3 linked regions of the Lepisosteus oculatus genome follow. The protein of the gene in region 1 interacts with the protein of each later gene in a pairwise test. Links are inferred from orthologs where the notes say so. Each region holds a gene or a part of one and is shown on either strand. Other genes may lie near its edges. The genes, in order: morn4, septin6 and bend3.

Region 1 (10,727 bases):
AAAAGGCTCATCAATTCTGCTATAAAGCAGGAAGGGAACTTTAAATAAAGACAGGTATGTACTGACAGCATCTGCCCTCTGATACCCCTCTGGCTTGGACAAGGACGCCGCACGCTGAAGTAGGAGATGCAAAAGTGTCGTCTATATCAAGCAAGAAAAAATATCGTGCACTACCAAGACGTACATTAATCCGGTGAAATATGGGCCAGTCCATTTAGAAACTTTCTAGAATAACATTTCATTTTAAACTTCAACCGCTTCTATGGCTCAAAAAAGGCATGCATTCAGTGAATGAACTTTTGACTTGGGAAGACAGCACAAGCTTTCCACCACTAACATGTTTGAGGGGGCAAAAAAATATAGTCACCGGCAATTTCGGATAAGACGCGTCGAGTATAAATCGAGATGCATTCCACAGCAAACAACTGCGATAAGTGGATTGAATTACGAGAAAGTCACACATGCTCAGATGAAACAAAATTCAAAGGAGTACAAAATGTCAATTAAAACCGCTTAAGAACAGAGCTTCTACTGTCTCATCTCGCAAGCAAATTGAAGTGCGTAACTGCAAAATCTGTTTAAAATCTCTCTTATAAACGCAATATTTTCGGCCGCTTAAAAAAAGTTGTCAAACGAACATTTAAGAATTTGTTTTACCACGTATTCTGTCAAACAAAACCCATGTCACGTCTAACGCCTCAGAACAAATACCGGCAAGTGAAAACAAGGCACCGATTTAACTAAGCAGGGAATATCGACTGTACCTACAGAGATAGGTTAGCAGGGAAAATGATTAATGCAGTTTGGACGAAGCGAGCCCTTTGGGATAAGAGATCACCGTGAAGTGAATCCTGATCTCCCAGTAACACCAAATATACCGATTTAAATGGATTAGCATCAAGAAACATTCGAAATGGGGGAGGGTAGCCCGGAGAAGGGCGACATTTCAAATGTGAACATTTGGAAGACAACCGAAATTTGACGTCTGTAAAATTACAGCACTGAACTAAAATATGCATTGCAAAAAAGCTTGTGGAATACTCCACAGATGTAACACATAAAGCCCCTGTGCATCAGAAAATAAGCAAAGGACTTCCAAAGAAATTAAGCAAAATGTTTAAAGAAGATAAAAATAAATATGCTGTATTACATTTAGAATATATATATATAATTGTAACTACTGACCAAGACATTTTCAGCAAGCTACTGCACGTGTCGCGCGAACTTAAAACGTCTAGTGCGCCTGACCTTTAAATATAATTTAACCGACATCTTCCCCGGCTTGCCAAAATATAAAATACAGCAAATTTTTCTGAGCGATTCCCCCCATTGCAGCAATGCGCGCCCCCGGGGCCGACTCGAGGGCAGCCAGGGAGCGCGCGGCACCGACCTCAGCAGCAGAACCCGGGGCTGCCGGGAGCGCGCGCCTCCCCCTCCCCCCACAGAAGAAAACAAGAAAAAACGCAGAGGAGCACGCGCCCGGGAGCCCCGATCTCATTGGCTTAAAGGAAGCAGCGCCGTTCACGTGATACACCCTCCGTAAAATAAACAGGAAAACAAAGCCTGATATATCTTTGTTACCTAGCAATAAAGAGATAGATAATATAACCAGGGAGCAAACGAATTCTGCCTACAGGACGCCCCGTACCGTACGGACACTTCCACTATATAGGCAGTATAACGCATTTCACAGCCAGAATCTGGCGACCGGAACGGAGGGAGGCAGGCTCTCTTGACGGAAGAGCTGCACTAGACAAAAAAAAAAGCCGCTCCGTGCTGCTCCCGACGGTTAGAAACAGAATTTTTTTGCGTTGGGACTACGAGAGAAACAAAGTATATTTTTCCAAACCCCGGAGTCCCGGGCGCCGCGTCCGGTCCTGCATGCAATGTGAAACGAGCTTACCTACACAGTGAATAAGTTTATGCCGCCACGAGTCAAGTTCCTGCCGAAAGCCGCGTCTCTCGAGCGTGCATTGCTGCCTCTTACACAGACTCGCCATTTTCTACCGGCCCCACCCGCCGCCGCGCACGTTTTGCTGGGTGCGTCCCAGCGTGCACGTCATCGCCACGGCCCTTTTTTGTGTGTGTGCTGTGTCTAGGGGTGGAGTTTTCTGCTGCGGCATCTTCTACTCGCCTCCGCCGCCCCCCAAAAAATAAAAGCTTAATATTCTTGATGGATGAAAAGTGACGCGTGATTAAAACTGGAAGGCAGCCCATATTCCCGGCCTTGCACGCGTGCGCGTAATTTAATTAAGGGGATCCCTGTCCCGTCGGAGGAGATTCTGGGACACTGTCAAGGGCAATTACAATGTAGCGGTGCGAGTGTTACTTGAATTTGATGAGACCGCATTGTGGTCATTTTTAATAGATTAATTCCTCAAGCCCGAATTTGGCTTTTAGGAAACTCATGTTATATTTTTATGGCTCTCCATAAATTACTACAATCGTAACTTTAATAAAGTACTACTGTACGAATTTCATTCAACCCATTGCCGCTTACTAAACAGCGCATTTTCAATATAACGGAGCGCTTTAAATCAAAACCCTCTACACTCTATAAACTGTATTAGATGGGAGTTAAAGTGAAAAACTTTCATATATAAGGAATCCTTATATATGAACATCGGATAAAACGGCAGTGCAAAAAGATTAAGTATCCTGATTAATGAAAATGCACCATGGGTACTAAACTTGGCGACGTAAAATCTACACACATATAGAATTGAACTATATTAACATTAACAAAAACTGTGGGTTGAAGACAGTTTCCATGATGTCTTGCTAGAGGTTTATTGGAGGAAAAGGTTCATACACTAAACTGCCTATCAAAATTAATTCATTACTTATTTCTATTTGTTTTTAGACAAACTTAATGTTTTTGCACCATTTTGATTAATAGATCACTCGATCTTGATATGCTAGAGTGACATCTACTGTTGCATGAGCACTGAATCACCTCATTAGTGGGCATTGAACAGGCATAAAGGTGGCTTAACTTGTTGAATGTCAAGTCCAGTGAAACTCAAGAACAGAGATGTCAAAAGGAACTAATATTCTGAATTTAAGAGATTAATGCCTTCATGCCATCAGTATGCTAGAGACTGGACTAAGTCACCTGAGGTGGACTTGACAGGGGTGATACATGTGTAGAACAATGCGCAACCTTTTATTGTCAATGGGCTGATGGTTTGGTTCAAGTGTGATGGTCTGGGTTGGAAACTCCTTTCCCTACAGATCTCCACTTGTAGCAATGGAATGCAACCTGTTCACAGGGAACTTCATGACCTCACTGCCTTCTCTCATGCAGCTGATGTGACAAAGTCCAGCACGATAATATTCTCTTTGTCAAACAACAGCTTCCTTGCAAGACGAGCCACAACAAGGATACCCTAGTCGTTAGACTTGGGACTTATTGAGCAGCTGTGGGATGAGCTGACATGAGGCATCTAGGACTCAGAGATCAGTGAACAGACACCTGCTTGTCCAGACTGTAGGAGAGGAAAGGGACAGAGTCCTATAAGACAGCATCTGTAACCTAGTGTGTCATATGTGCTTTAGATATACACCCTGTATTGCTTCCAGCAGTGTGCACACATGCTACCAGCCTGTGACTTTCACAGTAAACCCATTGATGACAAATATGAATCTTCCACTGCAATGTCTGTTTTAAAACATGTCAGTACAGTTGTTAAAAAAGATTTCCCTGATAATGTAAGATTTGCTTCTTACTATGCCCTTTGCAATATCTACACCTCATTTTGATCCCTGTGCAGCAGTACAGTTGTGCTTCTTGGATCTCAGTTTATTTTGAGATCACCCTTGCTATTATAAGCAAAAACAGCCTGTGAAAAAAACTTTTGATGTTTGTAAACCAAGACCACAGAAAGAACAGGCGATGGACTTTAGAGCATTGAACAACACACATTTATCTCCCTTTCAACCTAACTCAATCTAGTGGTCTAAATGCATATATTTTACTAAAAAACACTATTCGGCTTTGTAATACTTTGTAAGTATTACAAAGGCCACACACTCACAGCCCACTCAGTATTGATGGAACGGAAGTGGAAACAGTCACCAGCTTTAGGTTTTTGGGAATTCACATCTCTAAAGATCTAACCTGGACTGTGAACACTGACTCTATCATGAAGAAGGCTCAGCAGCGCCTTTATTTCTTGAGGCGCCTCAAGCGATGGGGGATGCCAATACATGTGTTGGTGAACTTCTACCGCTGCACTATCGAGAGCGTCCTCACCAACGGGATCACCGTGTGGTATGGCAACACCTCTTCGCGAGAAAGAAAGGCACTGCAGAGAATGGTCAATATGGCCCAGAAGATCATCGGCTGCGGTCTCACCGAGATTAAACAGCTCTATGAGGACCGCTGCCGTGGTAGAATTCTGGCCATCACAGAGGACAGTCACCACCCTGGGCATGAGCTCTTCACCCCACTGCCCTCAGGCAAGAGATATAAGAGCATACGGACACTTACCACTAGATTCTTCAATAGCTTCTATCCACAAGCAGTGAGACTGGCGAACACATTTAGCCATCCCCCTCGGACCACACCCATCACCATCTACCTCATTGTAATTTATTTATTGTACGTCTCCAGTCATTGTTTACACGTCTGTATTGTTTACATTCAAACTGCCTGCATGTTTACTTGCACATTGTCTATTGTTTGTTTGTACATTGTCTTGATGCACTGTTTGCACTTGTTTTGTTTTTTTACACTTGTTTTACAATCGAGAGACTTTCTGTAAGTAAGAATTCCATTGTACCAGTACCGGTTACATATGGCAATAAAGTTCAAGTTCAAGTTCAAGTTTAAGTAAGACCCATTCAGCACATTAAGTCATGAAGTAAATGATAAGTGAAATGTACAAGGAAATTCAGTATATCTATTTGGTGTTTCATTTTAAATTTATATTAAAATAAAAATCAGACAGCATGTGCAGGAGTGGTTAGGGATCCAGGCTCATAACTGCAAGGTTCTGATTTCAGATTCCAGGTAGGGCACTGCATTTGCATTGAAAATCTCTTCCAGGCACAGGTAACTCCCAGCTATCTAATACAGTACAGTATGTCACTCTTTGCTATGCATCCAAGTAGCGCGTTTGCCTTTGACCGCTTCTGTGCTTTGCCTACTGTAAATACCAAAGCTACAATTCTGCAATCTTCTCCTTGCGGATTTACTACGTCTGTGCGACCCACAGTATAATTCTCCCATACTTTACCGTTTGCTTTACTTTATGGCTGTATGCAACCCTTCACACGTCCATATATCATTCGAAGATCTGAAGTAGTTCAAGTGATAAAAGCTTGGGTGCTACCGCGGTTGTAATGTAGGTGCATCTTGATGAGATAGAAGACATTTATTGTATTCACTCCTGCGGAAGCAGAGAGGCGGTGAGTCCTGACCTTTGTGGAGCAGCTAGATTACAAACTAACTACATCTGTAAGGCAGAAGAAATCGGGGTATGCAGAAATCGAAAGTACTCATTTCGTCACTAAAAAAAAGACATCTGTAGATGAAAATACATCCGACTCTGTGCTAAATTCATACAGCATACTGAATGAATTTAGTTAATTTAATATATATATATACCTGAAACGTTTTCAGAGAACCTTGCAAAACTGCCATACGCCAACTGAATGTTTAGCGGTTGCTTAACCTGAATGAAAATAAAGAAATATCTAATCACTAGATAGATATATAAAGTTTCACAACGTAATTAAAAACGAATCCCATAATTAATGCCTCTGCGCAAAAGCCACGACCAAACATATCCCTATTAATTAAATCCACAGGCACGGCTGTGTGATGCCCCTAACAAAAATGTCAGCTATCAGACCTCAGAAGGAAACAATCCAGCCAATCAGGATTCGCTTTAAATGCAAAGTAACGCAAAACGGACAATGGGACAGTGAGACTTTAGGAAGAGCGTGAAGCCTCGCCGCTAGAGGGGGCGGGGTCAGGAGAGCCTAATTTTCGTCACAGGGTGTACTGTATAGCAGTTATATTGCACCATTGCCTGAATTGTAAATATAAAATTGGTGGATTTATGTGCTTCTGAAGTCCCAAGATCATAAAACAGGTAAATAATTTGTTTATCTTATCACGCAGTAACGACGGTCAGTTGGATCATCTTGCAGCTGTGTGTTTAAATTTGCTGAAGTAGTTTATTAGTACTGTTACTGTAAGTGATATGCCGGCGACACGTAGGGAAATGACTTTGTTGCGTTACTGTGGTAACATTTCAAGGGATATACAACAAAAACGTGCACTGAATGCCAGGAGTAACCATTTCGTATACGGAGGTTATTAAGTCTGGAGCTGTCAGTATCTTTTAACCAACAATAATAGCACTATAGACGAAAGAACAGCTATTCACCTGCTTAAATAATTTATTCCATTATGCCTACATTGCTTCGGCTTTACATCACTCGATTTCTCTATTCATTTGACTGAGCTGTGCTTCTCATGCAAAATGGGGTGCAGTATAATTTGCGCTCGATTTAATGGTGAAATCAACATGAACAGTCCCGAGTCACGGTTTAAAGTTGAAATAAGAAGGCATCGCATCCTTCATGACCGAGACTAGTTTATTCTTATTGCTCTTATTTTAATCTGTAACGTTCCTTAACAAGAACGCAATTGCAGCAGCGCAGCTCCGCTACCCACAGAAGCGCTCTGGGAGTTGTTTCACAGACCTGATCTTTGACCGCTTGGAAGACTTCAGAGACAAAGCAGCCGTCAGGAAGCAGCATCAGAGTCATCGGAGGAAAACCTGTTCCTATGTTCTTCTCTGGTCTGTAACAGCAAAAGATTAATGGTACCCAATACAGTACCAGCGTGAAAATATGTTTGTTTTCCTCTCACACAGAGTTTGTTTTAAGGCACTGATGTGTATATGGATGAGACAGTGGTACCGGTTTGTGACAGACATTAAGGTACTGACAATTGTGATTCTCTGAGGCTGGTACTGTATGTTTAATCTTCTGGCCCCTCAGGGAGTTAAAATTATTCCTTCCTAGAGTTCTCCCTGCATGGTCCTTAGTACTTTTGTCACCATCTTAGTGAAACTGTACTGGTTTCAAACAGTGCCACAATGACTCCCACTTCTCCCTCCTCAAGCAGCACAAATGTAGCGCAGACATGGTGTGGTGGTGGAGCAGTTTCATAGAGCTGTTGCCACCAGTGCTTTGAGTTCCTGTGTCCATTCTCTCAGGGGGCAGCCTTTTTAGACAGCAGCGTGGACTTGTGATTAGGGCTCCGGACTCCAGACTGGAGTGCTGCAGGTTTTGAACCCAAACAGGACACTGGTGTTATTCACTTGAATGAGGTGAATTGATCACATTGCTCGTGCAAGAGCCCCACTGCGTAAATGGATCACCGGCTCCTTATTATAGACGAGAGCGTCTCTTTTTTTTTACTTCTTTGGTTGAATAAAGGATTAAGGACTATCTCTTTTGATTTCTGCATGTGCAATTCCTAATATGCGTGTTAAAGAAAAAAACAAATGTGCAAAGTGATCTTTATTTTTAACATTCGTGCCCCCCCCTCCCCCACTAATGCCAGTGGCAGGACCTGTGAAAATATGATGTGTGGCCACTCAGAATTGAGAGCTCTGCTTCTAGTCTTTGAGGGGGTGAGCTGTTCTTTCTCTGGTCGTCGTGTCTCTGAGACTCAACCTCTTCTGCTGGCTGCTGTGTGCCCCCACAGGCAGTCTGCGACATGACCCTGACCAGAGGATCCTTCACCTACTCCAGCGGAGAGGAATATCACGGCGAGTGGAAAGAAGGCAGGTGGCTTTAAATGTTTTAGAAAGGCGGTCTAGGATGGGTGATGTCTTCGTCCTCCGTTTGAGGACAGAGGCTCCCGGGTCTGAACTGCAATTACTTCGCTTGGCCCATCCCTATGCTTTATCCATTCAGCCATTTTCGAACTGCTAAATCCAATCCAGGGTTTAGCCTGACCCCGCAAGACAGGCAGAGGACATCCTGCACCGCATGACAAATCGGCACAAGGCAGACACAGACACACACGCACACCAAGGTCAATTTCCACCCACCATTATGTCTTTGAACCACGGGAGGTAACCCATGGGGGAAAAAAAAACTCAAGAAGAACATGCAAACTCCACACAGATAGCAACATTATTAGAATTAGAAACCGGGGCTCTTGTGCTGGACTCTCTGTCATTCACACAGAGAAGAATAATTGGGTTCATTTGTGGTTGGCATGAAACCGAGCGTGGTCAAAACTGCTTAAAGAACATGTTCCTGAAGTTGAACGTAACTGCAGATCTTAGAGATTGCTAAGTAAAATGTGCTTTTTTTCTGTCAGATGGAAAACATTGCCCAAAAGCTTAAATAACGTACCCTAACAGAGCCTTCAAAGATAACAGCCTCTTGTTGGAAGCAGATACTTACATAACTCACAGTTTAAATCAGTCCTTACAATCATCTTTCTTCTAGCTTCAGTCAAGCTCCATCAGTCACTGTGCCTTCTCACCAGTCAAGGGTAATCTGCCCTTTATTCATAACAGAATAGGAACAGGCGCTCTGAGGCAGCCTTTACTTGTGTGTTTGTAAAAGCATCGTGTTTCCATTAGAACAAAGCTGGGGAGAAGTAAGTGCTTCATGTCATGAGTTTCTTTGTAACAGACAACACCTAACAAAGAGCACGTGCTCTTAAATGTTAGAAAATGCAGGCGACATGGAATTTGAATTTCCTGGCTGTCCAATGCAGCGTATGTTCTGATCTTTCCCAGATTTGTGCATGCTGCAGTGTTAGCTGTGGGTAGCAACTTAGTATTGTCTGTACTTAGTGTTCTTGCTTTCAAGGACAGGGACTGACAACAAAAGCTCCTTGAAATAAGCTAAATCCTAATTAGCTGGTAAACCTTGACGTCACACAACATGACTAACCTGATGTCACTGTGCAAGGGTTTCTGCAGGGACTGGAAAGGTTTCCAGAATCACTTCAGTCAGATTCTTCTGTGTAAAATGGTGTTATGACAGAAGATATAACTAATAAAAATAAAGTTACTTCTAAGAACACTTAATATTCACAAAATAATTTGATCTGGTTAAAATGTAGTAGATATAAGCTGCATTTTAACATTGGCCTCGGGATTAGTTCTTTAATATGAAATGCCCTTTTGATATTATTACATACTTGTTGTTTCTGGTGTTTATATTTTTAGTAGTATTAGGGATACATAGTTTGCTGTCAGTGTATGCATGTTGGAATCTATAGAGAGCAGCTAAGGACTTTAAGAAATCAGCCAGTTTCAAGATTTCAAGATTTCTTTATTTGCCATATACAAGTGTATTGGAATGCTTACTCATTCAGCTGTACCCAGTAACATTAGAGAAAGGGAAAAAAAATCACAAATGACGAACAGACATGGACAATAAATTCAGACAATAGACATTAAAATACAGCCAAGACAGGACATAGTGCAAAAAGTGCAGTACCTCACCTTGCTGGGATCAGGAAGATTGCCGCAAAGCTGAGCTGGTGTCCTGGATTGTATTGAAAACAGGCCCTTACATTCCTGACATTCCTTTCAGGAGCTGATTTTTGAGCTAAACAAAATCCCTTCTAAAGAGGTTTCAGATCAGGGAAAGGGTTACAATCCTAAATACTAACAGATGGTAAACCTAATTTAGCTAGGAGAGAATTTTTTTTTTACCATCAAGCCCCTCTCGCACAATGCTGTGTACAGGGATGTCTCTGTGTCAGCTTATCCTGTCAATCCATGTTACCTCTTACCTGAACACATACCTTTCAATCCACCATTGCTGGGATTCCCAGTCCTGGCCTCCGGGTTTTCGATCCAGCTGAGCTCCTTCCTTCATTGAACTAACGGGGGACTAGATTTGGAGCCCTGTAAATGTTTTTCTTTTTTCCCGTAGAGTTAGAGATGTTTAGTTCTGTACAAAAAGCAATAGGTACTGTAAATGGTAACCTCCAACATGTTTAAGAGTTGAGTTAAGAGAAGAGCTCATATTAATCCTATTTTTAGACCAGTTATGTTCAGTTATGTAACAGCAGGACTGGGTGCCCCCCCACCGTTAGAAAACTTGGTGAAAATGATGAGATTTGATTTGAGCAGGTGATTTTTTTTCCTGTTCATGACATTTGTAAGCGTTATAGAAAGGAAATGGCATCACTATAATTGCTTCTGACAAATGTGTGGAATAGGCTATATGATTTAAATGGAAAATTTGAAAACTAAAAGAAAATAACTGGGATGTACTTCCAGAATGGAAATATACAGGTACAGTTGAATGTTTCCTATCACAGTGTTTTTCTTGCTAAGTGGCAACATTTCCAGGTGCTGAAATATGATCAAAATATGAAGTTCCATTTTCTATGGATGGATGAAGTGTCAACCACCTGTCAGGTGGAAAGAGTTATCTGACTCAATTAGTAGATCTGCCAATGCGTCTGTTTCCAGGGTGCCAAATGTGTCACCCATGCAGCACAACCACAACGCAAAACATGAGCAGTGACAGTGGCAGTAGAGTAAGACCACTGTGGTTGACACCACATCACACATGATCATCTCTGATGAGTCAGATCACTCACAACAGACCTTTTAGATCAGCTGGGCATGCTAGAATATGACATCATGTGGGATTCGCATGAAGGGGGCAGGATTGCAACATATCGGCAGGTGAATTGATCTTTGCATCTCTCAAGTTCAAGT
Region 2 (11,241 bases), on another chromosome or scaffold:
GGGCACAGTTTACAAGTCAAGAAACAGAGCAGCACAGACATTTATAGAAAACCAGACAAGTGAAGGCAAGAGATGGACGCAAAATTATCTTCAGGCTGACAATAATCCTGCAAGACCAGCAGCCACTCAAGACGCCCTCTACAGGATCAACACATGAGCGCTTGGAAGACATAAAAGGAACTGCGTCATCTTCAGAAACAGCTTTAACAGGCTGGACAACCATCTACTGTGGGACTGACAGGCAAGTAGCCTGTGACCTCGGCTGTGTGGAAAATGAATGGCCACACAATGGAAACAGTCCTGGGTTTACCTGGTTTAAGCCCTTCACAAGAATGACACTGGTACAGAGTCGGACTCACCCACGCAGAGGATGTTGAAGCAGAAGCCATGATTGACGGACTTGTTGACCAGCTGGTCAGGCATGCTGTCAAAGCCCACATGGCCGGACAGGGGGATGGACCGTGCACCTTCTCCCTGAAGGAAACACACACAGTTAGCTCAGACAGGACGCTGCAAATGCAGCTCAACTTAGGCACCCCTCATTACAAAATCAGGGAATGAAAACAGAATTTGACAACTTCATTTCTTAACATGAACATTTTTACATGAAAGTGAGAAAGCATACAGAATTTCATTAGCAATATATACTTAATCAAATATAGAATCACCGGTTATTTTTCAGACTTAATTTGGAAGAGACGTGCTTTTCAAATCTCGATTCACGGGTGTGAAACCTGCGACCGCACACTGGGGAAGAAAATGAGGAAGTGTGGGCTCTGACTCGCTCGCCTGAGAGCCACACGGCTTCCACCACCTCACAGGTGGTAAGAGGAGCCCCTCACTGATTGCCCTGCACGAATGCAAGCACCTGGGGGGCCACAGGGGGCGCTGTGTCACAGAGCACCAAGAGAGCAATCCAACCCAAACCTCAGAAGTGCTCAGCCAACAGCAGTCAGCTAGTGTCATGATGCAGTCACGAATCTCAGCACTAACGCTGGTCAGATGGACGTTAGCTGGATCACAGTTCGCTGCAAACCTTTAAAAATCACACCAGTACAGCAATAAGATCTGTCTGTTCCCTTTATTCTTAGGCAACAAAAGACACCCTATCTCTCATAACTTCACAAATTCACAAATTTATCAGGAAAATAAAAATAAACTTTTTATATACAGTAGCTCCTTTAAAGGTGGCTGCTCAAAGCACAAATTGATCTTTTTTGTAGCAGGAACACTGTCATGTGTTTGAAATGCCATGACATAACGTAAATTCAACATCCAGGTGAACACTTCTCATCAGCTAGGCTGGTTAACCGTCTGCTGTGAGACTCACAGACGAGGAGTATGTGACGTCTGCTGGCACCAATGCAAGCTGTGTACCTGTGATTCCTCTGGCCCATTCCTCTCATGCAGTCTGGACAAGCATGTGTTCACTGCTCACACAGATGTCTCACATCATCACAACGGATCCCACAAATGTTCAATGAGCCTCAGGTTGAACACGTCACAGCATAACTGTCACATTTGCATCTTGTTGTTCAATATATTCTTTCAATCAGCTTTCTACAAACTAAGAGTCTAGACCTCTGCAATAACCTGGACCAGCTTCTTAATGCTCACGAACAGAACGAGCATGCGCTATAAACTGCGCGTGCCTGGTTGGTAAAAACTCAAGGAACATTTTCAGGCGGTGAAGCGTGTTTCACTGAAGCTCTCTGCAACACTGGAAACTTGGACTGTGACGGGAGGAGTGCCGTTCCAGGACAGGTCTCTCAGGAAGTAGCCCCAGCTCATCAAAGCACACCCCCACACAGGGCCCGAGGCGAAGAGCTTTCCCAGAAACACACTGGAACATCAACTGCACATACACGTCCAGGCTGAGTCCTTTGGCTTGTTTTTCGTGCAGCCGAGGTGCTGATTTTCGCTCGGGGTGGATGAGAGATCTATCAGGGCCAGTCCCAGGCGTGAAACTCCTGGCGGAGTGACATGCGCAAGAGCACGCCGACCGCCTGCTTGAGCGCAGGGATGGGGCAGGAAGGCCCGTTGCACCGCAGCTTCTGGTCACCCCCCCCCGCCTCAAGCTCGCAGCCTCCATCGGTGCTGCCGTCTCATACCGTACAAGGTGCTCCAGTGGCAGCCTGGCTGTTGTCTGCTGCTCACTTCCTGTTTCCTGTCTGTTAACCTCGTTGAGAATTCGAGCTGCTGAGGCAGCCTGCCAAACCGCAATTTACATATCCGGAAAGTCCTGAATGTTCACGGCTACTTCATCTTCCGCAGAAAACGTTCCACGAGAGGACCCGCAGGACACAGGCCCCCCAGGACGGGCGGACAGAGCAGACGCCATTACAGGGTCCCGAAAGCCGAGCGGGGCTGGGACCGAGCGTTCTCCTGTCCCGCGTCTCCAGCTGGACACACAAACAGAGGGGAGAGCGCGGCACGCTCGACTGCTCGCACCTGCAAGCGGGAATCCACAACAAGCACAGACACCTCGAAGGTTAGCAAGACTTGAACAGAGGGCCATGCCTGTTACAACAGCTTTGGCGAGTACTGGGCTTTCATTCAACGCTGCGTTTAAGATGCCATGGTACAAGTCTCTAATTGCCAAAGTGTAAAAGATATCCCATCTATCAGATATGCTCACAAAAAAGAATCTTCCTTAACACCTCAATCACAGCGGGAGACTGCAGGGCCTGACCCTCAGTCGAGACGGCTAGAACGTTTCGCACACTCCAGTGTGTGTCAATACAGTACTAGAGCCAGCAGTGAGCACAACTACTGCTCTCTTTCCATGCAGACGCCAGTCCCAATACTCAGTACTCAAGACCCCTGGGAAACCAGTCTGTCTCACACACCCACCGAGGGCACACAGTTCAAACTCGGCCTCCTGATCACCCAGGACAGCTCCCTCTGCCACTCAGGAGTGGGGAGGCACAGACAGGCACGACACTTCAGTCACCAGCTATTCTGTGCTAACCTGCACTCCCCCAACCAGGGGGCCTAGATACCCACTGAAGAAAAAAACCCTGAGTGGACACGGGTAACAGAACATTTCTGTGTCCAATTTATTCTTCTGTCTCAGACAGCACTGAAAGGTCTTCGAGTATCAATAACAACAGGCTGAATTGTAACTTTTAAGGAATAAAGTTATTGTTTATGTGTCATCACAAGAAATGTTGTGCTGCACACTGGTGGTGGTGGAGGGGATCCCCATTACCTGTAAAGCGCTTTGAGGGGAGTGTCCAGAAAAGCGCTATATAAGTGTAAACAATTATTATTATTATTATTATTATTATTATTAGTCTTACTAGACAGCATTGCCATTCAAAAACAACAAGATTTTGATTGAAAGACTGTCAGCAGTAAAGCAACAGTATTTAAGGCTATAGATCATGCAAAGCAGAAAACTGAACTGACTAATCAGTCAACAGTCCAGCAAACAGCATTGTAAAACATTTCTTGTGTGGTTCAATGTTAATCAAAAAAGAAGGGATTTAAAACGGTTGTGAAACATCATGATCAGCACATATGACACTACTATACACCGTTTAAAACTGGGCACTGATGTCTTATATTCGCAATTTGATCAAAAGATGACTACAGCAAATGCAAAGCAAATTAAAATAAAGATAGTTATTGTAGACACAAATCTATGGAACCAGACACAAACCCCTCTGAGCAGACAATCAGGAATTATAATGGGATACAATCAAGTAAAACCATTCAAAGGCATACATGATTAAGAATTCAGTAAAAAAAACTATTCAAACCTTTAAGGTTCCCAAAATACATCAACAAAGTTTTTTTGTTTGTTTCAGGTGGAGTTTTACTGTGGCTCGTCAAATCGAACATGAAAGAACATCTTCACTACTCCGCCACTTTTACAGAGGTGGCAAGCAAGCGTGACTACGCCAACTCCAACAGGCCGGTCTCAGACATGCCATCAGGGGAGAAGAGCTTCCTCACACACAAACGGCCCTGGCAGTGGGAGGCCATGTGTTTAAACTCAACAGCACCCCCAGGTCACCAAGGCCTGCTGCGGAAACCACCCGGGCAGCCCGGGCGAGTCCTGTATAGTCCTGATCTGTGGGTGCCCATCTGCACTGACACCTGGGCCTCAGCAATCTAAATAAACCGGCCTTGGGGTCCTACATAAAGTGAAGACACGGGGGGGAAAAAATATCTTTAAATCTGAACGCACGGCGCAAAAACGAGTGTCGTTTCCTCCGCTCAGTGTTTCCGAGCTGGCGTGCAGCTGGCGAGCCCTGCGAACCAGGCGCTCCAGAGTCAATTTACTGTATCCGGCCCCTTCGCTCATCTGCAACAGTGTTGCCTTCTTCTCCGGCCATCGCCGGGAAACTCTCCCGCACACCTTTCCACAACTAAAAAAAGCACGAAACCCACCGACGCATCCGTCGTTGTTGTTGTTGTTGGGTTGTTTTTTTTTTGGTCGCTTAGCTTTAATCCGCTTGAGTTAATTGAATTACAGTACGGCAGATAAGACTACGCCCAGCCAGCCAATGAGACAGGCGGCCGCAGGACCGTTCAATAGCGGAATCGGGCATGATCGTCCCACACCGATGTCGGACAAGACTGTTCTAATTTTTCGTCTGTGTGTACATCCACGGACGTGTGCAACGAAAACGAAACGCGCATTATAACACACCTGAAATATTCGCCGAGCCGATAGGAAGATACCGGTTTTATATAGCGGCTGATCTTATCCACATGAAAAAAAAAAACAAACAATCGCATGGTTTATCGATTAAGAATAAAACCAAAACCCGTTCAAACCCATCACTAAAAACACACGACAGACATATCATTCACCGGGATTAAGATGCGAGGAGTTGTTGTTGTTTTTTTTTTACCAGCCTCTACTGGAAGAAAAAATATAACGTTTCCCTTTCCGTGACTCGCTACACTGGAGAATAAATGAGGGGCTGACGGTGTCTGGCGCTACAGCCCGCGACCGGTAACCTCGCACCCCGGCCGTGCAGGGCGTGCAGACGGTGGGTTTCGGACCGGCTCTGCCTCCCCGGGCAGACAGCAGCGCTGGAGCCCCGGGGCTAGAGACACTCACCGCTTGCCGAGCGATCTCCGTGGCCGCCATGGCTGCAGCGTCTCGCAGTGTCGCCGAACAGGAAGCAGCGCGGAGCCGCGAGCGCGGGGCGGCCCAAGGGCGGTGCCACAGCGGGGGCCGCGCCGCCCCCGTCACACCGGCCGCCCCGGCCCCGCCGCACGCCCCGGCCGGAACATGGCCCCTCCTCCCGCCAACGTCCAACACGCAAAGAAAAAAAGCGATCTTTGATCATCCCCTTTTCATCGGTGAGATTTTAATCCGCTGTCTTCCCTGCGTCCCCCCCCTTCCAATTCCCCCCCCAAATGGTTCGTTCTGCTGTGATGAGGTGGGGAACAGGCCCTGAAGTTTAAAAATTCACGCCTTTGCGTCCCAGGCGGGTGAAAGAAAAGTGCGTGTTAGCGCTGCCTTGCCTCATGCACACCGCCTTGCGTGTAACTGTTCGGGAGCTCGGCTGCCATTAGGGTTTTTGACATCATTTGTTCGCGTATGTAAATAACACAGCACAACGGGCGTTCTAACAGACCTTTACACCAGCGGAGAAACGTGTGTACAAATTCAGGAGTTCCTGTTCCCATGAAGTTTCTCTGTATTAAATAGTTTCTCTGTATTTGTTTGGAGCATGTTGTGGATAATGAGTTTTTGGCCATTTATTCCTACGCCGCCGGACCCCTCCGCCTGACCTAGAATACAGTATTGCGCAGACAACACGCGTGCGTCGCAGGACCGTCCCAGACCGCCTCGCCTGAGGGGCACCTCTGCTGGAAGAGCAGGAAACGGTCTTCTGGGCCTAGGGAAAGCGAACTGTTGCTGGGGATAGGAACCTTCCGTTGTTGTTCTATTTTCCGTCATATGTGTATTTTAATATGTACGTTAATCATTAGAGAACATATCAGAAATCCCACCAAACTCCGTTTCGCTCTCTGCAATCAATTAAGAACGACTCCAGCAGCACCGGGGCGGGTTCTGGCTTCTGCCCGAGGTTCTGACGTGCGTGCCGTCCAAATCCTTCTCTGTTGCAGCGGTTGCCAGTCCTGGACCGGGGGACGCCCGTGTCTGCTGCCGCCGCTGTGCCTCCTGGGCTCTTCATCACCAGTAAGGCTGGCGTCCATAACAGACACCGTTGACCCCTGCCTGCTGGTCTGGACGTTTTGTGTTCTGCACAGTTTTAAATTTGAGAAATACCCCCTGTTGAATCGTGTTATTTCCAACATCTTCATCCTCGACTTGCTGAAGAAAACGTTGCTTTACCAGAAGGGGTGTGGGAGACTGGAGCTCCTTTCAAGGAAAGGCTGGATGAGGCCCTCGGATACATTATCTAGTAAAACCCCAACGGCTGCTGCAGTAGTGTGACCCGAATGACCTCCACTGTCTTGTTATGCTCTTGTGTTATAGCGTTTCTTTATGTTCTAGCTCAATAAACAGCGCGTGTGTGCGAATCATGAACACGTCTTGCCGATATATGGATAAACCAGGATTAAGAGAAACAAACCAGGTGTCTGACATCACCGCCTCCGCCTGTGGATGAGCTCTATTCAGCACGCGACTAGGGGGGCAGATACAGACAGGACCTGGGAAGCTGACGTCTGCGAGATGCCAAGACTCAAGAGTGTAAATCAGCAGGAAATGCGATCATTCTCAAGTTCTCAGGAAGCTTATCAGTGGACTAGAGAAGGAAGCGCCGGAGGGGTTTCTCGTGTTTTGATCCACGCTAGAGAATCCTGCCTATTTACGTACCCCCTAATTGGGAAACGCCCTCCTATCCGAACAATTGACCGTACCGTCCCGCAGTTAGAGATTCGAGCAAAGTGAACACGCCGAGATCTGCTGTGGACTTCGGGCGCACGTCGAGACGGCGCAGCCCACCTCGCCCACCTGCCTAGTTCCGTGTCGCGTTTTCAGTTTGCGCGATCAAACCTTTCCTGCCTCTGACTTGCACTTGGTAACTCAACCTCATTGGCCGGCGGCACCTTCATACAGGAGACAAGAAGAGTGTGTATATGAACAACAGGGTGTGCAGTATTTTCAAATATTTACACAAGACATTTACGGGTCTATTTTTGTACTTTCCTGTGTTCCTTAGCGATTTATCATTTTAGTAAAGACATAGTATTTAGGAAAAGCGCAAACGTAGTCCTAAAAAACTACTTTTTCCCCCCATTTTTTTTTAACGATTTCACCTGTTAACAAGAATAAGTGAACTAGGAAAAGTTGGAGGATATCTTTGAAATCTGATGCCAGGTCTTGGTGTCGACAAATGTGTAGGAACCCGCTCTCCCAGTCTTGATAATAACCCCCTCAGAGAAGACACGCAGCACACAGCAGTGAAAAGTGACACCGAACCGCGCTGTGCCGTTTCTTGCTCACACGGCCGCAGCACCGCCTATTGCAGGAGCTACTGCGACTTATAGTGACACAGCCGTGCTGTGGGGCCTGAGTGCTTGTTTCACCGGTAACACAGAACTGCGGATAATTGTTCCCGGGGCGCTTTCCGGGACAAACCGCCCACCCCCGTGCTGGCAGGGAACCCGGGAGTGAAGTACTCACTCCGGGCTCACACCCAGAAAGCCAAAGAGGTGCAATGAAAGCCGCACTCACGCGTGCAATCCTGAAGGTGCCCCAGAGTCCGTGGCAAAGACAAAAAAATTTAGCCATAGCGTCGACAGGCGAATGGCCATGGCTTACGAACGCCTCCTCTTTACCTCGATCTCATTTCAATTAAAATATTTCCGGGCCGCCCCAGTCAAAGGCACTGAAAAAAAACGCTCCCCCAGCATAATTACCATTATTTTCCTGGCGGGACAATGATCCTGAGATTACCCCGACGGGGGTTAAAAGGAGAAAAGCAACGTCACTGCCTTTCCCTGTGGTTTAAAAGGAATTCGGCTTCCTCAGGCTTGGCAAGACTTGGGAAAGATCTTTTACAGGTTTAGCACACTGAAGACAGCTATGAAGATTAGCTATGACGCTAATTGCATCGTTTTAGAAACTTCCATGCGATTTAAACACGATTGGTCTCGAGGTGCAACTTCTGAAACACTGCAGCAAGAGAATGCGTTCACAGACACTCCAAGAGGAATTATTTATTCTGCAATATTACGTAGGTTTCCAGTATGCCCGTATTGCCCAGTTGCTTGTAATCTTGTTGCAGAATATTACGTAAACAAACTGACTGTCGAGTATAAACAGAGCTACGACGTGCTGTTCTCTTTACTTTCGCTTCGAAAAGCTTCACTGTTCAGGGCAGATTTGTGGTGTGCGGACTCTCTGCTCCCTTAGGACTGCTAGAGGTATCCATACCTATCGAAAACAAAGTATACTTTATCTTTCTTCATGAGTAACATATTAAAAGTGATCGTGGCGGGGGAATACTGATAGACGTGTGTCGCGGCTTGCATACTGCTGGTTCAGTAGTGGCGCAGGATTAAATCTGAACTTTGTTAGCAGCGGTGGGGTGAAAGCGGGGGGGGGGCGGAGAAGGAGGGGTGAGACCTGACCTTCTTGAAAGAGGAGAAGCGATTTCGGTTTGAGAGTATTCTAAGCTTCCGCGGAATGGAGAGTCTTAAACCAGGCTATTTCCTTGAAGGATCTGGCATTTGAGGATTTTCAGCGATAAAAGCTGGGAGAATACCGCCCGGGCAACCGAACTGCGGGTTTGCGTAAAGATCTTCCAAGGAGATAAACGCGCACAGGTGACGAGGAAAGGTACATTGTTACAGACGTTGAACTACTTTAAAGAATATAAGAACCGCTCAGTAACCTGCGGAATGAAAACCGAATAGGTGCGTAGTTTTACCCCATATGTCAGCAAGGAAAAGGGTCGTGCAGACAAATCGGTTTTTACTGAGGCACAAACCAGAAACCTCAATGCATTTCCGTGGGTTTGGGTAAGGGCGTAGCGCCTTTAAACATCACACGTCTCAAGCCCACGGAGCGCAACGAACTCTTCTTGTGCTTTGTTTTTCCTCTCGCAAATTTGGTAGTTTATCTTAAGACCAGCAGCGGAAACACGAGATACCCGAGAAAGAGGAACAGTTAAATGGGTGGCGCTCTCTGTGTCTTTTAAGATCACACATTCGGAGAGGGCAGTGGGACGATCACAGCACACCAGGTGAGTCTAATATCAATCTATAGATAGGTGTTATGGACTAGCGCACATTGACGAATGCAACAGCCACCGCGAAATTTGCTCTCTCGTCGGTTTCACTTTGTTTGGAGTCTGGGTTCAGGACGAGTACAACAGGAAAAATAATTTCAGAAAGCTGCCCTGGGAACTGCTTTTCTCACTGTTGTTCATTTCCCTAAGGGGCCCGGGCAAATACTCGCGCCGGGGATGAGAACTTCGATGTCTGGAATTTAAAACCCTCTTATCCGTCAGAAGAGCACTTGATCGAGGAAGAGGAGGAGAAATTCCTCAGCAATGGGCGACAGCGCCGGCGTCTCCGAACCGCCAGGGACGGTCAGCCCGGGCGCTCATTTAGATGCGTATCAGGCAGCCGCAGCTTCGCCGCCGGTGCAGGAGGAAGAGGAGGAGGGGGGGGAGGAAGGGTCTAGATGCGCAGCCGCGGGTGCCAGCGACGGGGGCCCCCCGATTCCCAGAGCCGCCTGGCGGGCGGCCGGAGGCACCGGGAGCCGGGAGGAGCGCGCGCCCCGGCTGAGCGCGAGAGCCTGCGGGTACGCCTCCGCGCGCAGGGCGAAGCTGCAGAGGCAGCCGGAGGTGAGCGAGACCGACGGCGCCCCGTGCGCGTCCCTCACCCCGGCCATGAGGAAGAAATACTTAAAGGAGCTGTTCCTGCACAACGGTCTGCACAACGGCCTGGGCAGCATACTGGTCTCGTCGCAGAGCTCCAGCGCTGCCGGGGACTGCGGGGATGAGGCCGCCCAGCCCAGCACCGAGGACGGCAACCTGACCAGGACATTCTGGGCCCTGGATCCGGTGGAGCACGCCTGGATGCTGTCGGTCGTGGACGGGAATTACGACACCATCGTGGAGTTCCTCTCGGAGGACCCGAGCCTGCTGACCAGAAAGGATTTTGTCTCCGGGTTCACGGTCATGCACTGGCTCGCCAAGCACGGCAAAGACGAGACGCTGATAAAGGTGATGAGGTACGCGGAAAGCCGGGGGCTGCCGGTGAACATTGACGTGAGAGCCAGCGGGGGGCTCACCCCGCTCCACGTGGCTGCCATGCACGGGCGGCACATGGTGGTCAAGATCCTGGTGGGCGCCTACAGCGCCAGCGTGGACGCCATGGACCACGGCGGCCGGAGAGCCTGGCAGTACCTGAGGGGGGACGCGCCCGCGGAGATGAGGGAGCTGCTGGGGGCCATGGACGAGCAGGGCTGGGCTCTTGGGCCCCTGAACACGAACAACAACAGCGCCGACGCACTGAGCCGGGCGGAGCCGGAGGCCCCGGGCCGGAAGGGCCAGCTCGGCGGGTTCGCGTCGTTCAAGAGGATGCTGAGCCCCCTGCTGTCGTTTGTCAGCAGAAGCAGCAGGGAACCGCTGGGAACGGCGCAATGAGCGCGGGGGGGCCCCACCCGCGTGAACAGGACGAGAAGGGGCTTTTGAGTTGTGCTTGAAGCCTGGTTTTCATGTCCGTGACCGAACCAGTCCTCCAGGTGCGTCTGAAGCTTTTCCAATGGGATCTGCGCGCCGGCCCAGCGCCACATCGGATAAAAGAGAGGTTGTGTTCCTGGACGCTGCAACGCTGGTCGGCGCGTTAGAGAAACGGCGAGGACAGTCGATCATCCGTTCGGAATGTTCCGATCGCAGTGTTTCGTGTGAAGGGATCAATAAGCACATGGCTGCTTCCTGAATGCGTTGATCATTAATCAGACCGGGATTTTTTTTTTTGCTCTGTCAGTATTTGTCTCTCATTTTTTGGATAACCTGGTGCACTTTACTGTAACACCAAATATACTTTTGTATATAAAACCCTTTAATATTTCTGAACCCCAGGTGTGGAACGTATTTTAAAGAAAGTGATTTCACGGTACTGTCTCTATTTTAGAGACAGCCAGGGCAAACTGCGAGTTTTTCCTCTCAGAAAACTATTTTCAATTGAGTAGCTGGCTCAGAACAATTGTATCCTAGTTAAGACTAGTTCGTTTGTTTATCTAAATAAACATAAGAATTCTTTCAGATAAGCCAAAATTAATTTGTAAAG
Region 3 (11,149 bases), on another chromosome or scaffold:
AGACAAGGGTTTTCCTTCAAAAGGAGTGTGATTCCAGATGTGTAATTCGTTATGTTGTGGCATGAAACATTTCATTTACAAGCACAACTTAATGTGAAGCTTATCTAGCATGTACACACATCTCTGCCGATTATTTTTGTGTAACCTCCCATGACTCTTCTGCTTTTATCTAGAATCGGCATAAAATAAATAACCCTGACCAATGCTGAAAAAGGCTGCCAGCACAGCCAGTTTTCTTTTTCTTTCACTAAGTTCTTCTGCTGTAGCGTTATGCAGCATGAAACCACTGCTGAAGACGTGGAATGACTGAACTGGGATTCAGGAAAACTGCCTGACTGGTGTTCTTCCCACTTACCTCTGCTGAAACTTTCTGTCTTTTTACGCTGGTGGGCTGTTCTTGCTCACTGCTCGGGCTGTCTACAACAATCTGGGTGTTGGCCCTCTTGCCCGTCGTCTCCACACTGCTGCACAGCACCTTCTCCATGCTGCCTTCAGGTGTATTGCAGCCTGCGGACCACTCGATAGCTGCCTCTTCCATGAGTCTCTCCATTTTCACACAGCGCAGGGGTCTTCTTTCTGCCGAGAAGCACGCAAACACAGTCATTCTTTTCCTCAGTGGGCAGTACCTGAACACGGGGCTATTTCAGCATTAAAGAACTGCTTCTGTTTTAGGGACCATGTTTTATCATCTATAGGTTTTGGACCTTAAAGTTTAACATGATAAAACTATGAGCGCTTGATGCATCACAAGGAATATGTTTTGCCTGGGTATAGCAGAAAACGTGATTAGAAAACAGGAGGAACAATAGTCCTTCACAGCCATGATCCTTCTGCTGTATATACAGAGCAGGCCGTTTGCAAGAATCACTTTGTCCCTTTTTTGGCTCATTAGGTGTCCCTGCTCTTGATGATCATATTTCATCATATTGGTCACTTACGTTCATAGCATGCATTCCTATAGAGTGGTATAGAATTACGTTACATTGCTCTGTCCACTCAAGTATTAGCGCGCGCTGTATCGTAGTACGTAGGCTGCGTATTCGATACATCTTAAAATAGAAAATATGAAAACCCGTCCCGATTTTTCAGCGCACACAACACAGTTCCAGGGTCATGTGGCGTACCACCTGGCGGCACTCCACGTACCACTGCAGGTAGGTGTACCACAGTTTGAGAACCACTGGTTTAGACAATAACACACTTAGGTCATTTGGTGCAAAACCAATTATTGGTCTGGCATATTAATATAAGAGTCTTGCAAACAGTAATGTTACATGCAACACTCAAAGCATAACATCATCATTATTTTCAAACTACTCAAATAATTCCACAAAATAACCGGCAAACTTGAAGTGAACAAATTCATCCGAAATGTCAGATTAAAAATACTGTTCCTACAAGCAGTTATGCAAAGATTTAAGTCTTTTAAATGAAGTTTAAAATTTATGAAAGCACTGCAGCTAAAGATTTTAAGGTACAGTATGAGGGTGCAAGTCAGAGCCTGGACAGAGGAGATCCCAGTTTCATTGAAATGATTTAAACAGGGGGCTGCATGGTGGTTAGCCTCACAGCTCTAGGGTCCTGGGTTCGATTCCAAACCGGAGCACCTTCGGTGTGGAGTTGGCATCTTCTCCCATGTTTGTGAGTGGCTGCACTGAGTAAGTGCCAGTTTCCTCCCACTGGCCAGACATGGGGGATAATTAACTGGTGTCTCTGAAGCCGGCGTCACACTACATGACTCGACACGACTTCTAGTCGGAGAGCATGTCAAATTTCACGACTGCAGTTGCTGAATCTCGCTGCCTTTTCTATCCTAGAGGGAGTCAAATTATCCGACCAGGAATCGCGGGTTGTGACTAATTCCAAGATTCCCTTGCAACTTTTTGTCACGGTTCCAAATCTCGTATTGTGCCACAAAATTACCGCGAGGTCGCCTCATTTTGGCAGCCAAACAATGTGGAGCACACCGGAATAAGAGGAGGGGCACCGCACAAACAACACGGAGGACAAGCACGTAAAGATCTTGAAAAAATGTAACATCGTAACATCAACTTATCATACGCAGAGTCTTAGGGGCTGTTAAGTGCTATGACTGAGTTGCTGGGGGTGTCGCACTACACAACTGATGGTAACGGGTGCGTACTGCAACTCTACAACTCGCTGTGATTTTCTTAGAATTCTGTAAATGAAGGCTACGACTGGAAATCCTAAGAAAAGTCATGTAGTGTGACGCCGGCATTATCCGCCTCTCTGAGTCCGAGTACCCTAAGATGAACTGGAATCCTGTGCGGGGTGTTACCTTGCACACACCCTTGGCTTCAAGGAGTGGCCTTCTGATAATGGACGGATTTCAAAAGTTTTTTTTATTATAATGAGGATCTATCCCCAAGGATTTAATTTAAATCCTACCCATGCTTTTCGTCAAATCTCTTGACAAACAAGGATGTGTATCCCCACAAGCTGTGGTTTGAATGATGAATCCTTATGCAGTAGCCGGTCCTTGTATTGTAGATTATTTGCATTGTTTCTATTGGTAGCACTGAAACACCTACAGCACACAGGCCTTCAGTCTTGTCACGCGACAGGGTCAGATGATGAACATGCTTACCTGTCTCTGATGCCTCACCATCTGACGTCTCCCCATGCTCAGAACAGTTCATGACCTAAAATGACATCAACCACAAACGCACAACACTGAATCACAGTTCGCCTACAGAACTTTACTGACATTGAACTACGTACTGTAGTCCCTTTCATCTTAATCATCATCACCAATGTGATCAAGGTTTCAGGCCTTTTGTAAAACCACATTCATGTACTTCTCACTTATGACATAACAGTACTGGTGTTATGCAGGCTAGAATCCTAAATTCCACTTTCATGTTGTATTTATGTATGAACTTAGGCCGAAAAATAACATTCAATGGTGAGAACTAGCTGAGCCTATTTTGTGTGTTAATCATATGCATTTCATTTTGGTGTGGTTCTGAGGATCTAAAACAATATCTATGATACCATGGCCTTATAGATGAATCTATAAAAATAGTGAGGCACAGGTAAAGGTTTATTCCATGCTGAAGGGAACATTGTTGTGTCTTCTTCAGGTGTCACCTGAAGAAGGCTTCACAGCCGAAATATTGTGTCTCTTTTCTTTACAGCATGGAATAAACCTTCAGTTTCTTGAGTTATGTTATGTGCTTATTTATTCCGCAGTAGAAATGCCAGAAATTTCAAATTTCTTTCATATTTAACTTTCTCTGTTAAGGCCTTCAGAATATGCCCACAAATGCCCGTGGCAGATCTTTACTGGACTCAATTTTTGAAGATGGTAACAACAAAGACCTAAGAGATACTACAATAGTTCTGTAACCCTAAGCCAATTCTCTTCAATCACGGGTTACACACAGCACATGGTTTTAGTTTTAAAGATTTCTTTATTTATACACATTTTATGATTTCTCTCTCCCTGAACTCAAAGTATTTCGTAGTACTGCACAATATAATCCAAGAAAACACAAATATGTCAAAAGCAGATTTGCAAACAGAATGTCGGTTACACTTGGACTACTGTCATTCTTAAACATAATTTTTATATGTTCCAGAATGAGAATTTATTTCAATTATGACTAACTCCCCCTAAACTGCCAACACAAAATGGTGCATCTCAATGTAAGTCTTCATCATGGTGAATTTCAATATTTGGGTTTATTTCGTACGTGACCTCTGTCTTTAAAAACACAAAAATAAGCAGCATTAAAATTTTCAGCTGTTTTTTTGTGGACTGCGGGTAATTTGGCACGCAATGAGCCTATGGAATCATAACAAAAATATCGCACCTGTTAATAGTAACAAAAGGATACAATACAACAGTTCTTGCCCATTACAGAAATAAACCGGTTCACATTTGTCTGCAAAGCCTACTTTCACAGCTCAAAGTTTGACAACTCAGCTGGCATAGAATTTGATAATTATATTGTTGGAGTTGATTGTATGAACGTGTTTTACAAGGTAATTTATTACAGTAGGAAAAATACCGTTATCCTCGTAAGCACGGTATTATAATTCTTTGACCTAACAAATATAGTTAATTGCAACGTATGTTTTTAGTACAGGAGTGTTTAACGAGCTTTTTGCTAATGTTCATTATACAGTTTGGTAACTGTAAGCTTAAGTCATGTGCTTGTGCTTCTGTTTTGAATTTAAAATATTTTTTGACATTTTAAGCATATCAAAACATGATGTCGGCTGCTTAAACACGAACAAAAAAGGATATTTATAACATGTTCTTCAAGTTAAGATTTGCGATATATTATGCACAGATCCCCTAAACCCAGAAATCGGTCATAAATGTGACCTTTTTCCTCTAGTTACTCTTATTTAAATGTTATGAAGGGCTCCCCAACTGAAACATGACCCTTTGCAGCACCAGTACGTTCTATTCTGTACTGGCGCTGCAGTAAGCGGATCTCCTCAGCAGAGCCGTGGAGGCGCTGTGACTCCACTCACACGCACACAGATGAAACTCGCCAGACTCCAGACCACTCCACTTCCTCATTCTTCCACTAGCAACCCACGAACCGCAACAACCCGAGAGGGATATCCTCTCATCGCACTTTTTTCATATTTTCTACGACATAAAACTTGGGATACAGATGTTCCAGAGCACGATCCGTACCCAAAACGACAGTGCAGAAGCCCACCCCACGCCCACTTGGTCTTTTTTTGTTGTTGGGTTCTGTTTTAATAATGGAATTCTCTTTGCGTGACGCGGCAGGAAAAAGATCTACGGGCGAGTTTTTTCCCCTCTTTGATTTATTGCACAGCGCTAAAGCATTGAGTAGTTCCGAACTCACCTTCGAACACTGGCGTAGCCTGCAAACTAATAAATTCGGCGAGCATGTCCGATTCCTCGCATCACGGTATATTTTTTACACGCCTGAGTGTCGTCCGTGTTACTGTCCGCCGTGTTTTTCTTGTCTGTGCCCTCTCGAGTGACGTGACGGCACTCGCCTGCTGTGTCATTTCCGCACAGCTGTGGGTTACTGTGGGCAAGCCAAAGTTCTGGTCACGTTTGCGTGTGGGAAAGAATAAGGATGCTGAGTAAAAAATGTACATTTTTGTTCTTTTTTGGTTTTGTTGCATATCGTTTCGATATAGTGACACGCCAAATATGTATTTTTCACATTTCTCTGAATAGTTGATGCAGAAGTTGTTTTCATTCATGAGATAATCTGACTCAAAAATTGATATTTGCCATCACTTCATGTCTGAGCATCATGCAGCGTGCGTTCAGCTGTGTTTGCAGAGAGGAAGACATCACTTGGGGGAAATCCCTGTCATTTTGACAGTGCTTACGCGTTTGGAAAGATAAGATGTATATTTCAACTATTTGGAACGACTTTTTTACAACAGGTGTTCTGCCTTTCTTGACACGGAACTGATTTAGCGGGAAATGTCTTACCTCTCTTGTCAAGCTGAAAATTACTCTAAAATCATTTACGGGCGTCTTAAGACGCTGGGGTTTTGTATTTTTCTTATTATCCACGCACATCTTTCTTTTTGAGTCGTCTTGTTTAAAATATATCATCCAAATACTATAGTTAAATTATAGAACTAGAATGGCTTGCACATCGAGACTTGTATATGGAATAACAACTAAAAGTAAAAGTAATTAGTCTACATTGTGGCTGCGGAAAAGGAAAATCTAGACTCCATGTGACAATGTAGGTTCCTCTTCATAACATAACCCGAGATTGTGTGTGTTTGTTTATGCACTACAGTAGGTGATCTTTTCAGGTTTTTAACATACCAAGGTAATATCTTAGTATAGGTTATAAGTGTCAGTCTGTATTTAAATCCTAGATCTTCAGAATGGATTCTTCAGCCTATACTGTATTACTCCTGTATATTGAATATTTTAGTATACCATATCCTTGTTATCAAACGCACAAATAAAAGAAACCTTATTTGAATTTTAGACACAGCTGACTGAAATATGCATATCAAAGCAAAACTGTGATTTGGCGATAGTGTATTGCCTGTGGGTGTACATATTTGTTAAATAAAAAGAGTTAGCCACAGAACGTGACCAGATCAACATGAGTTAACAGCTGAGAGGTGATAATGGCTGTAGTGCACAAAACAAGACCCTGCCATTTTTCTTTCTTTTCGGAACCAAGTCAAAGTGGGGATTCCAGGCAGGCCAGTCTCCCTCCACACAGCACAGTGTAATTTGAGCTGCTCTGCCTGTCATAGTCTTCCATTCAACATTCTGCCATTCTGGCATACAAAGAGAATGATAGACTGATGGTATCTACAGTAAGTCAATTGAATTTGATCATGAACAGTAACTCAAACCTGATGAATCAAATGATGCTTGCAATATTAATTATGTAGCATAAACATGCATTTTCTTATTAGTTATGAATAACATTAGTGGTCTTATTTGAATTTTGGCCTGGTGTTACAATTTCTTATTCATACAGTAAATATGGAACAGTGCTTGTTTTATTTCAGAGCAAGATACTTTGTGACTGCTGTACAGTTTCTCGGTTGTTTTTTTTCTCCACCGGAAAACCTAGTTCCTTGAAGTGGAGAATGAATCCCACGCCATAGACAAGACCCAATTTTTGGAGATATGTTGCATTTATCTTGGTCTTTTTTTAGCTCAGTTTGTCTTGTTCAACTATGCTGCAGTGCCCTCCAAAAGTATTGCAGAAGCAAAGTCAAAACTTATTTTTGTCTTACAGTCAATACATTTGTACTTTTAATAATGATATTAATGTGAATAATATGTACAAGATAGTATCCATTTTACTTTTGGGTAATTTCATATAAACATTTAGTAATATTAGAACAAAAGCATACTTCACATTCATCCCAATGATTTCAATAAACCTTTAGATTGGGGTCACAATAACTTCAAATTTTAAAATTCAAAGTGTTAAAGTAGTCCAATTAGTTTTGAAGAGCATTGTAAGTTAAAAAGATATGAAAATTAGTTAGTTATAGATGCACTGTAACAGACTATGATCAGAAAAACATAGGCACATTAAAATCAAATAAACAATCACAAATAATTAGATAGCTCACAACATTGTGGTAAAGCACATTAGTTTGATTTGTTGGTTGGTTTATTTTCCATATGTATTATATAATATAAATAAGATAATACCATAGTGGTAGATTTCTGTCAGACAGTTATGTCAATATTACAAAAGCAATTTGTATTGAGAAGGCTGGGCTTTGTAAAAATATATTGACATACTGGAATGAGCTCATGAAGGCACTTCATGGTAGGTCCCTTCATTGTTAGAATTTCCTCTTCTGTTTTCGTGTTCCCAATTTATTTAATTCACCATTCTCCCACTCCTCTCTCCCACACAACTACACATCTGCATTTTTGTATTCCTATGTTAGGAATAAAGCAAGAGAGCACCATAGTATAGTAATGCCTAAGTGTCTGTCATCCATTTGTCCCTTTAATCATACGTCTAAATCACACTATGATTTCAACCTCAGATAAACACATCCTTTTTCTTCAATCCCATTTTCTTGTAACGGCCTCAGCAAGGAGAGACAGTAGTGGTTTAATCGTTTCTCATACTCAAAGGGATTTTCAGAGTCCATCATCCCCAGCATCCACTTGGGTTGCTTTGCTAGGTGTCAGTCTGTTTTAGGCTGCACGCTGAATTATAAGATCACTTTATTGGCCATATATAATTCCTTGCATGAGGAATTTGACTATTTGCATACCCCGTCTTGCTCTCCATGAGATACACAGACAGGGAGAGAGAAGCTTGTGGTCAGAGCACTGGGTCAGCCATTTTTACGGTGCCCCTGGAGCAGTTGGGGTTAAGGGCCTTGCTCAAGGACCCAACAGAGCAGGATTCCTCTGCCGCCTGTGGGAGTTGAACCAGCAACCTTCCAGCCACAGGCACAGATCCTTAGCCAAAGTGCCACCGCTCCGCACATGGCTAAGGAATTGGCAGGAATCCTATGACAAATGGTTCTCCCTGGCGCTACCCAGCCAAGTCAGTCAATACCTACTGTAAGTGTCATGTAAGAAAAATTTTCAGGTCATGTATTTGTATATGTTATGTTATATGGTAGTGAGAAGCTGTCACTTTCTCGTAGTATATAAATTGGTGTTTTTCTTCCTAAATGAAGAACAATCAAGCTTATTATAGATTTTTGTAAATCTGAACTGAATCCTGACTTTAATGAATTGCCACAGGAAATAGCTACAATAATGTGATAAACAGCCTTCCTTCAGTTTATACATTTTGTATGATTTGCTAAGCTTTTCCCAGAAAGAAATCTCACCCATTGGTTTTCTGTAGAGAATCCTAATGTTGACTTTAGCTAAAGTTTGGGATAATGACAACAAATCAGTCTCACCCAGCTGTTCTAAACCATAATGATTCCCAACATTAACTGTACAGTATATCTATCTAACCCAAACATCTCTTTTTGCACTTTGTCTCATGCATCCCTCCTATACCCCATCTCCACCTTTGCAGCTCCCCCTTACTGTACATAGCATGAGGGTCACAGCCTCCTTGACCTATGACCAAGCAGGTTAGGCCAAAACTAACTGTTACTCAGAAAACACTTACATAGTATCTGATTTTTGGAAGTTGTTATTCCTTGTGAACGTGTTTTCAAAAGGCAGTGGTGTGACTAGTAAGAAGGTTGACCTGCTTCAGGGAGGATTGAGAAGACCATAAGGATAATATATTGAAATCTGATCCCTAATGCTAAGTACATAAAAACACAAGGAAGATTACGAATGAGAGGCAGCAATTCAGAGCATTTAGGATATTTGCTTAGCTGCTAGTAGCTGATCTGAGGATCTTATCCCTCTGTTTCCTGAAAGGTGCCAGGGAATCAGCTTCAGTGACATACTGGGTATCAGGTACCAAACTCCCACAACCCTCTGCATGCAGACATTCCTTCTGTTCTCAGTCTTCATTCCTCTTCAGCCTAGAGTCACATGTCCTGAAGAAATCCACTGACTAACTTCCTCAGTGCCTTCAAGGAATCTGAGCAATTGAGTCCTCTTGTAGTCTTCTCTGTACAAGACAAAAAAAAAGATTCAATACCTTTAGCCAATTAGTTTAATATATATATTAAGTCAAATTATATGGTATAATTAGTCATTCTTATCTGTACTGATTCAAGGGAGGCAATGTATGTTTTGAAATAAAGATGCCACAACTGTACACAAAATTCTAAATTAGGTCTTACTAATAGATCGTAACTCCCATTGATTTAAATTCTACACTTCTCTCTGTACATGTTAACATTTATGTTGCTTTTATAGTGCTCCCCCTTCTTTGCCAAGTGGAGAAAAATGGTGCATCAGCAAAATCACAGAGGTTTCAAAACATGATTAGACCTTCGTTTCCTCTCACTGCTCCCTGCAGTGCACAAAAGTTTGTGAAAAAGCTAATGCAAGTTTAAGTGGCACCTTCATGAGAAACTTAGTGGTTATAATTTGAAGAGCAAGCACAGTTGGATCCATTATGGTATAAATCCTGTATTTGTCCTTTTTAAGACTTCAGGAATAATAAAAGTTTGTCTATTCATAAGGGGTAAAGATAAATTAAATTAAACAGAGGCATTTACCGGAGGAAACCCACTCGTAGCTCTGTGTTTGAGATTGCACGGGAGCAGATGTGAACTGATGAATATCTCAGTGGGTAGATAAATGGTTCAGAGAACCGAAGTCAGCAGCAACTATATCACATAAAGTGGTAGGCAAATGTCTCCATCTGGTGGACAGAGAAGTCACAGTTCATGCTAGCAGAGCAAGAATATAAATTTAAACTGAGAACATTTGGAATACAGGCAAAATAAATAATTTGTAGTAGGAGATACACACAAATATCCTGTGGAAATCAAATACGGGAAATATTCTAAAATCAAGTTTATTTAATGGGTTCACTAATACAACAGAAATACAGAACTGTCAGCAGTCACTTGGTATGAAGCATTAGCACAGCAATTTGTTTTGCTGTGATGAAAATGTGTTCTGATGTGTTGTCGTGCAGAATGATTTTCAAACAGCATTATACATGGATCTATGAAGGAATAAATATGAAGCAGTAGATGCATTTAATATCACATGCTTTAGAAGATTTGTGCAACACCTTTGATAGAAATAATATTTACACACTAAATATATTTACACTAATATTACAGCACATTTCACAGCATTAATGGCCTGGCTGCACCTACACACTCCCCTCTAGGAAGCAGGTCAATGACAATCCTTTCGGCATCAGCACGGCCCACTAGACATCCTGACCATGGAAAGAAGGACCAGGGAAATATGTCTTTATCCAGCAGTGATTCGGCTGTAAAATCTGTAGCTGCTTATTTCCTGGTGATTTTGCTGTGATGGTTGGAATGGATTTTAACACATACTGTATGAACCTCCTGTGAAGTTTAGCAGGCATTTGGTTCTGCTTCTGTGGTTGTCTTTGATCTTCTCAGCATTACTGAACGTTTTTCCCTTCTACGCAACAGTATATAAGACCAACTTCAATTAGCCATTGACTACTGGGGGCAAACCCAACAGGGTGCCAATACTTTTTTTCAAGTGATTCACCACAGGCGAACTTCACCGGCAAGCCTGTGAAGTGCACACAGCCATTTCTATCTAATTATTCGGCACTCATTGAGATCAAATGCAGCACGAGATAGAGGTGCATCAACTGCAGTAGCTCTGCTAGGTACATTTGAGAATCTCTAAGCAGAAAAGTACCAATTCATTAGAAAGCCAGCAAATAATTATTAGCAATGGAATTAGGAGGAGAATCTTCCATCACACCGTGGATTCGAAATAACAAAAAGGTAAATAAGAGTTTATCAGCATACAAAAGTGTCACCCCATGATTTACAATGATAAACAATCTGATCAAAAGCAACAGAACTTTTTCCGCGTACGGCGCTAAGTTCCTTGGATATGACTTTATTTTTAGTGGAAATCAAACAAAGCGAATTGGATTTTTACAAGTAACTAGCAAGATACATAAGTACTTTAAAAAGAGCAGCAACTCATTTTAATGGGGGTTAAGAGTAGCAGAACCATTACTCAGTTAATGGTCTGTTTCAGTGCCAGCAGAGGTAGCAGCATCCAGAT

Evidence for each region.
Region 2: the proteins of morn4 (region 1) and septin6 interact in binary tests that used the Homo sapiens proteins (3 or more experiments, as listed by UniProt). The two-hybrid records come from large-scale screens. The link is inferred for Lepisosteus oculatus from reciprocal best matches to the Homo sapiens genes MORN4 and SEPTIN6.
Region 3: the proteins of morn4 (region 1) and bend3 interact in binary tests that used the Homo sapiens proteins (3 or more experiments, as listed by UniProt). The two-hybrid records come from large-scale screens. The link is inferred for Lepisosteus oculatus from reciprocal best matches to the Homo sapiens genes MORN4 and BEND3.

The regions. Positions count from the first base shown.
Region 1 is NC_090699.1:44,156,470-44,167,196, reverse strand, and holds the start of morn4 (MORN repeat-containing protein 4), read left to right. Parts: upstream 1-5,992; 5' UTR 5,993-6,101; intron 6,102-6,329; exon of another isoform or gene 6,330-6,815; intron 6,816-7,729; 5' UTR 7,730-7,741; coding exon 7,742-7,808; intron 7,809-10,727. Other genes in the region: lcor (streptococcal hemagglutinin), read right to left, coding at 1,904-2,000. UniProt on the Homo sapiens protein: Plays a role in promoting axonal degeneration following neuronal injury by toxic insult or trauma.
Region 2 is NC_090703.1:50,240,123-50,251,363, forward strand, and holds the start of septin6 (septin-6), read right to left. Parts: upstream 5,186-11,241; 5' UTR 5,108-5,185; coding exon 5,078-5,107; intron 475-5,077; coding exon 360-474; intron 1-359. Other genes in the region: ankyrin repeat domain-containing protein SOWAHD, read left to right, coding at 9,495-10,595. UniProt on the Homo sapiens protein: Filament-forming cytoskeletal GTPase. Required for normal organization of the actin cytoskeleton. Involved in cytokinesis. May play a role in HCV RNA replication.
Region 3 is NC_090697.1:34,478,794-34,489,942, reverse strand, and holds the start of bend3 (BEN domain-containing protein 3), read right to left. Parts: upstream 4,992-11,149; 5' UTR 4,854-4,991; intron 2,664-4,853; 5' UTR 2,661-2,663; coding exon 2,609-2,660; intron 577-2,608; coding exon 356-576; intron 1-355. UniProt on the Homo sapiens protein: Transcriptional repressor which associates with the NoRC (nucleolar remodeling complex) complex and plays a key role in repressing rDNA transcription.